2 linked regions of the Sus scrofa genome follow. The protein of the gene in region 1 purifies or fractionates together with the protein of each later gene. This does not show direct contact. Links are inferred from orthologs where the notes say so. Each region holds a gene or a part of one and is shown in the gene's direction. Other genes may lie near its edges. The genes, in order: NUP85 and NUP37.

Region 1 (3,817 bases):
TACAGCTCCAATTAGACCCCTAGCCTGGGAACCTCTATGGCCGTAGGAGCGGCTCTAGAAAAGGCAAAAAGACCAAAAAAAAAAAAAAAAAAAGTATACATATATATATATATATATCTTGTTGATTCATTAGCATTGAACTCATGGCCAACAGCCCTGTAAACCTTGTCTGAATGAAGCTCATCTAACATGTATATTCTGACATGATACATGGCACGTTATAGCCTTCTTTGCACTTAGCACTGAGCGGCACTTCAGCACAACGCTTGGGGGCCCAACAAAACGCATGAAAATGTAAAAAATACGGCGCTAAATAGATCGCAAAAAAGATACTTATTTAGTGTGAGAGCTGATACCAGAAGGTGGAACTCCAGTTGTTCAGCCTCAGCTGGTAACGTGTGTATCAGGTGACTCACATTTGTTGCCCCTTTCTGGGCACATGTCCAGAAATGATGGTGAAAGCACCTCAGATATTGACTTGGGGGTTACAAATAAATTTCAGCAGGCAGCCGTCTGCACAGATACGGAATCTGACTGGAGAGGCTCAGTGGTAATAATGTTGATTGTATATGTGCATGTATGTATGTATTTGAACTCAGAGTTTTATGAACCAGTACTTTATTTGATGCACTTGGAATTTTTTATTTTATTGTGCTTATTTTTAAAAAGTTACAACCTCAGTGGGTTACATGTGTGGTTTGAGAAGCATGGTACAGGTTCAAACTGTGAGACTCAATGAATCCGATTACCTCGGGAGCTTCTCCAGGGCTAGAAAGCCAGAGTCTGGGCTTAGGGGACTGGCTTCTGAGCCTGCCGTGAACGTGTGTGTCCTTGGGTGTCCTCCAGGTGACCATCCTGGTGCTGCAGGGCCGGCTGGACGAGGCCCGGCAGATGCTCTCCAAGGAAGCCGACGCCAGCCCCACCTCTGCAGGCATGTGCCGCGTCCTGGGGGACCTGATGAGGACAATGCCCGTTCTCAGCGTATGTGGGAGCGGCTGGCCTCTCCCGGGTCCTGGAGATGGGGTCCTGCAATGAGAATAAGGGGTCGTGTGCTGACGGGCTCGCTCTGTGTCTCTTGCCGTAGCCTGGTAACACTCAGACGTTGACCGAGCTGGAGCTGAAGTGGCAGCACTGGCACGAGGAGTGCGAGCGGCACCTCCAAGATGGCACATTCGCCTCCAGTCCTCACCTCGAGTCTCTTTGCAAGGTCTGTGGGAAGCAAGTCCAGGTCGGGGCCCAAGCTGGCTTTCCCTGGGGACCGCAGCATCCAGCGCAGCAGCGGCAGGAACTTGGTCCTTGGACAGGGCTGTCAGCTGCGTCTGGAAGGAGAGAGCTTTCAAAGCTGGTGCTGCAGCCGAGATCAGGAGGTGATGTAGCAGTCTCGCCCAGAGCTAAGGAGTCGTGTCTCTCTTCTCAGATCATGCTGGGAGACGAAGCTGCCCTGTTGGAGCAAAAGGAGCTTCTGAGTAACTGGTACCATTTCCTAGTGACCCGGCTCCTGTACTCTTGTCCCACAGTGAAACCCATGGACCTGCACTGCTATGCCCAGGTGAGCCTGCGCTCCCCGGAGTGCGCCTGGGGCATAGGAACCCTGAGGTGCCGCCCCGCCCCCGCTGGGTCATTTTCACCCCTTGGCCTCTTGGAGTTGAACCCCCCTGGAGAACAGGAAGGGGCTTTCCTTGGGCGCTTTTTGCAGGACCCCGTCACCCTTCCCCAGGGTGCCTTACCCAGCAGCCCTGCCTGCCCCCTTGAGTCTCTGCTGGCATCTGGGGATTGAATGGGTCACCCCCTTTCCACAGTCCAGCCTGGACCTGTTTCTGGGAGGTGAGAGCAGCGCAGAACCCTTGGACAACATCTTGTTGGCAGCCTTCGAGTTCGACATCCACCAAGTGATAAAGGAGTGCAGGTAGGCCCTGCTGCCGCCGCCGGCGGTACGGTCCGCGCGGGACCGCCCTCGCAGCCGTCCTCGCCTCCAGTGCCTCTGCTTGCTGGTGTCTCAGCTTTCTTCCCACAGACCTGCTGCCCCTGTGCAGCCACATGTGGGCAGGTCATGGCTTCTCTCTGGAGAGCTTGGGGCCCTTCCTGAGGCTTGACGGCTCTTGTATTTGTAACAGTTTCCATTTCAGGGATGTTTACTTAACATAACGTTGCAGGAAATTCCTTTGATATTTAAAACCTAGAATTAACAGACACTAAGCGGATTCTTGGAACCCAACGAACATGCAATCACCGTAAGGGACGGAGCTCTCAACAGTCTCACTCTCTGGTGAGCCAGGGTACCACACCTTCGGCCCTTGATTGGGTCTGTTCAGAGCAGGGATTCTGCATCAGCCCGCTCCCCAAAAGGGTATCTTGTCATTACACTGAACCTTCAGCAAGGCAGGAAAGGAGTGTGAAATGTGATCCAAGGTAGAGCTTTCCAGAAATTTGCACGTTGTAATAAGTCAGAATTTACCTTCCCGGAGTTCCTGTCGTGGCGCAGTGGTGAACGAATCCGACTAGGAACCATGAGGTTGCGGGTTCGGTCCCTGCCCTTGCTCAGTGGGTTAAGGATCTGGCGTTGCCGTGAGCTGTGGTGTAGGTTGCAGACGCGGCTCGGATCCCGCGTTGCTGTGGCTCTGGCGTAGGCCGGTGGCTGCAGCTCCGATTCAACCCCTAGCCTGGGAACCTCCATATGCCGTGGGAGTGGCCCAAGAAATAGCAAAAAAAGACAAAAAAAAAAAGAATTTACCTTCCCTTGTGCAGTCTGGAGAGTGGCGTTGCACCAGTGACGCCCAGAAGAAAGCTAGGAACGCAGCAGGTGGCCTTGCTCACGTATCAACTCATTGACCTTGACTGAACCTACTTTTTTTGGTAAATCAGGGCAATGGGAAGGGTTCCCCACCTGCTGCCATCTCTTCCTGTTTTGGCCAAAAGAGAGCCAGGGCTTCAAGAAAATGCTCTTAGATTTGGAGAAAGGAAAACGGGTTTTGTGTCAGCGTTCTTTTCAGAGACTTACAGAGACTTTAGTTGGTGCCTGAAGACAACTTCAAGAGTTTGGCTGATGGCGGTGGGGGTGGGGGTGGCATCTGCCTGGAGCGGGTAGTGACAGTAACTTAGAAAGGCACACACGTCATTATTTCACTTTGTCAGTGTCTCTGCCTATAGTTTAAAGCAACAGTCTTGCCCGACGCTTGTCTGTTAGTGGCAGTGGGTTATTTCCTCCTGGGCCTCCTTCCTAAGCCACATACGGCTTTTAAGGAACAAAACAGAGTTGAAAAGAACGAGGAGAAGAATAATAAAAAGGGAAGGTACTTCGTTCTTTTCAGTGGCAACAGAAGGAAAAGCTAGAGAAGTGTCAACAGAGAGGGTGGCTTTTGTGAATCCACAGGTTACGGCATCACTCCAACGCCAGTCGCAAAGGAGGAAAGGTCGGCTTGTAGCCCCTCAGTCTGGGCGCCTCTCTGCCCCGGCAAGTAGGACAGGGTCTGAAGCTTCTGTTGGCACTGCATCTAGGAGCTTGGGCTTACCTGAGCAGGAAGCCATCTCCTAGCCCATTTCGAAGGAGGCCCTGAAAAGCGCGTCGCGGGACCTCATCCCACGGTTTGGAAGCAGGGCCGAAGTCTCTTCGGAGGGTGTTAGAGGCGGAAGGACTGGATTTGGGGTCTTGTGGGCATGTGCTTTCTCTTGGGTTGTGCCGGTCAGGCCCGAGCTGGGCCCGGAGGGGAGGGGGCACGTCTCTTTGGAGCTGGGCCAGTGCGTTGGTGGGACGGGGCGGCCTGGCTGATGCAGATGTGATGTCAGCTGGGGTCACGGCTACCCTGTGACAGCGGAGTGA
Region 2 (3,817 bases), on another chromosome or scaffold:
TTTGTTTTTAGTTACCTTATAGAATTATTTTTTGAGGCTTAGACAGGTTTGGATGTTTTTATTCTTATTGTTCAGTAAACCAGTTGTACCTTAATATCTAATCTGCTTTTGAACTTCTCAAAAAAATATTTACAGCCCCCTGATAAATTCCTCATTATAATAAAATATAGAATTTGATATTGCTTGTTCTCATAACTTATTAAAACATTTACTGTGTATGCTTAGGAGGAAGAAGCAGACATTGAAGGAATTCACTATAAAACACTACGAACATTTCAGCATGGAGTCAGGGTCGACGGCATAGCCTGGAGTCCAGAGACTAGACTTGATTCATTGCCTCCAGTAATCAAGTAAGTTTAATATTATTAAATGCAGCATTTATTAATGTCCTTTGTGTTAACTGATCTGAAGCCTTTGATCTTAGGGACTTTTTTCTTCCATTTCTCCAACTCCAGGTATTTTTGACTTTAACATTTGCTATTATTTCATAATTTAGGCGTTTGTCTGAATTTGAGATTTAAATATATAACCATAACAGTGATACCTTGAACATGTGTTTAAGCCTAATTACATAGCTCTTTTTTCTGAGATTCATATGGATCATTTGAAATCTTTATAGATTCTTCACTGAATTTACCACTTATTGAAAGTACAACTCTTTTAAAATAACTGAATTTGGTAGTCCCCTTGTGGCATAGCTGGTTAAGGATCCTCTGCTTTCACTGCAACAGCTTGGGTCACTGCTGTGGTGCAGGTTCGATCTCTGACCTGGGAACTTCCACATGCAGTGGATGAGGCCAAAATCCAAACCAAAAAAAAAAAAAAAAAACAAACCGTAACAGGAGTTCTCATTATAGCTCAGCAGTAATGAACCTGGCTAGTATCCATGAGAATGCAGGTTTGATCCTTAGCCCCACTCAGTGGATTAAGGATCCAGCATTGCCATGAGCTTTGGTGTAGTCACAGATGTGGCCATTAATTGATTAATTAATTAATTTGGTTGAGTTATTAATCAATCTTAATGCCTCATACATAGGCCAAGGTCACATTTTCGTATTTAACAATGCATAAAACTCTATTTTTGATCCTTGGGCTTCAGTGTTTGTTGAAAAAATTTGAAAAGAATGACTGTTTTTTGTTTTTTTGTTTGTTTGTTTGTTTTTTGAAAAATCTTAACACGCTTTCTGAGGCCTTCTTCACAAAGGCAGTAGCATGTCAGTTTATTTAAGGTTTGTTACCAAACACTAAAGAGACCAAAAAAAAAACCCATAATTGATAGAGTGCTTACATTTATGAACTGAGATTTATGAAAGGACATGAGAAGTAAACTAATTTCATTTATGAAAAAAGGAAACCGAGACCTGGTCCGCTTGAGTGCCGTCCTAGGACGTGGTGAGACTAGGCTGAGCTGGCTAATGAAATGGAAATCTACTTGGTAAAATATTTCAGGTTTGGGGGCATAATTTGATACCCAGGATCTTTTAAGCTATTTAATGAAATGGTCATGTATGTATATATGGTTTAGGATAGTATATTCGTTTCCTAGGGCTGCTGTAACAAGTTGGTAGAAATATGGTGGCTTAAAACAACAGAAATTTATTGTCTCCCAGTCCTGGAGGTCACAAATCAGAAAGCAAGATGTCAGCAAGGTTAGTCTCTCATGAGGCTCCAAGGAAGAATCCATTCCAGGCCTCTCTCCTGGTTTTTGCTGGCAGCTGGGAATCCTTTACATCCTTTGCCTTGTTGATATATCACCTCAGTCTCTGCCTCTGTCTTCACATATCTTTTCCTGTGTTTCTCCTTTTCTGGGTCTTATAAAGACACTCATCACTGGATTTAGGCCTATTCTAAATCCAGTCTGGTCATCTTATGATCCTTAACTTAATTATATATGCAAAATCCTAATTCCAGAGAGGCTATAACAGGTACTAGGGGTTAGGACTGGACATATCTTTGGGAACCACTATTCAGCCTTCTATAGATGATATGACATTCTTATGCACTGTGTATATACACAGAAATACAAAATAAACTATGCACTAATGTAGAGTGTAGCCTTTTATATAAACTCTTAGAATTCACTAGATAACCAAGAAAGGAAAAGCAAAAGGCTTTTTATAGTGAGAACTATAGAACATTGCTGGAAAAAATGAAAGAAGACACAAATTAATGGAAAGACAGCCCATGTACATGGATTGGAAGACTTAATTTTATTAAAATGTCTAAATTACCCAAAGCAATCCACAGATTCGGTACAGTCTCTATCAAAATCATGGGGGGGGGGCAATTTTGAGAAAGAAAAACAAAACTAAAGCCCTCATCTTTACTGACTTAAAAACATAAAGCTTCAGGAGTTCCCATTGTGGCTCAGTGGTTAACGAATCCACCTAGGACCCATGAGGTTGCAGGTTCGATCCGTGGCCTCGCTCAGTGGGTCAAGGATCTGGCATTGCCGTGAGCTGTGGTGTAGGTCGCAGATGCTGCTCGGATCTGACATTGCTGTGGCTCTGGCATAGGCCAGCAGCTACAGCTCTAATTACACCCCTAGCCTGGGAACCTCCATGTGCCGCAGGTGGGGCCCTAGAAAAAGACCAAAAAAAAAAAAAAAAAAAAAATACAGCTTCAGTAATCAAAAAAGTATGATACTGGCCTGAAGACAAACATACAGACTAGTGGAACAGAGTAAAGAACCCAGAAACAAATCCTCACATGTATGGTCAAATGACCTTTGACAGAGGTGTAAAGGCTAGACAATGGGAAAGGATAAATGGTGTTGGGAAATTTTGAATATGGATGCCCACATTCAAAAGAATGAAGTCAGACCTTTATACCATCTACAAAAACTAACTCAAAATGATTTAAAGGCCTAAACATAAGACCTGAAACTATAGAACTCCTAGGTAAAAGCATGGGAGAAGGTGAATCTGGGATAAAAACCAAGAAAAATGACCTCAAACCCCTCTCTCTTCAATGAATATTCTGCCCATTCATTTTCACACCCGACATAGCCAGCTTATCCAAGAAGCTTAGGGCAGCTACTCATCTCAGTCTGCTCACTCTTCCCTTGAGCATGTAAATTCTCACTTTGCTTGTTTGACCTCCATGTGATATCTTTGAATTCTTTCTGCAATGAGACAAGAACCTACTCTCTGAAACCCTCTTTCCACCCTTCTTTGCTCCTCTTTGCTTCATTTCACTCTTTCCTGTACACTAACTTCTTGTGGCTTCCTGTCCACATGGCAGAATCCTAGTTCTAGGAGTGAGAACCCAACTGGCTGGCTTGGATCCCCTGGCCAAGTCCAGCTAACATTGCTTAACAGGGACTAGGTTTACCCTCCTGCTGAAAAAGATTAAACACACAAAACGTAGAAGTAATGGTTTTTTAACATGGATATCAGGTAGTACAGGAAGTCACCCTTGGTTGGTTCAAGATCTGAGTCACAGGAGGATCTCCTTGAGCCTTCAGCCAAGTACTGATCAGCCTGGAAAGAAACTGCTAGAAGCCAGGAAAAGAGCCACCTAAAGCATTAGAAGTAACACTTCTTGGAGCCTTCTCAAGACCTGGAATGTTTTTTTTTTTAAACCAGTCAGAATAGTAAGCCTTATAATTCACTACTATCCAGTAGAGCATTCAGAAAAGAGTCATCAGTTTAGTCCTCCAGTCTGCTCTGATCCTGCCTAACAAAGATTAAAATCTAACCTGAAAGAATCCAACTGTTTCCAAGTAACTTAACTGCATCCCAGAACAAAGCTCAAAAATATTTACAGAAATACAAAAAATATCCACCATCCAAAGGGTAAAATTCATGATTCTGGC

The links.
Region 2: the proteins of NUP85 (region 1) and NUP37 purify together in Homo sapiens (affinity purification with western blotting; 4 studies listed by BioGRID and IntAct, with this or other methods). This does not show direct contact. The link is inferred for Sus scrofa from reciprocal best matches to the Homo sapiens genes NUP85 and NUP37.

What each region holds. Positions count from the first base shown.
Region 1 is NC_010454.4:6,083,162-6,086,978, reverse strand, and holds part of NUP85 (nuclear pore complex protein Nup85), read left to right. Parts: intron 1-846; coding exon 847-981; intron 982-1,084; coding exon 1,085-1,207; intron 1,208-1,417; coding exon 1,418-1,549; intron 1,550-1,799; coding exon 1,800-1,906; intron 1,907-3,817. UniProt on the Homo sapiens protein: Essential component of the nuclear pore complex (NPC) that seems to be required for NPC assembly and maintenance. As part of the NPC Nup107-160 subcomplex plays a role in RNA export and in tethering NUP96/Nup98 and NUP153 to the nucleus.
Region 2 is NC_010447.5:82,104,861-82,108,677, forward strand, and holds part of NUP37 (nucleoporin Nup37), read left to right. Parts: intron 1-225; coding exon 226-350; intron 351-3,817. UniProt on the Homo sapiens protein: Component of the Nup107-160 subcomplex of the nuclear pore complex (NPC). The Nup107-160 subcomplex is required for the assembly of a functional NPC.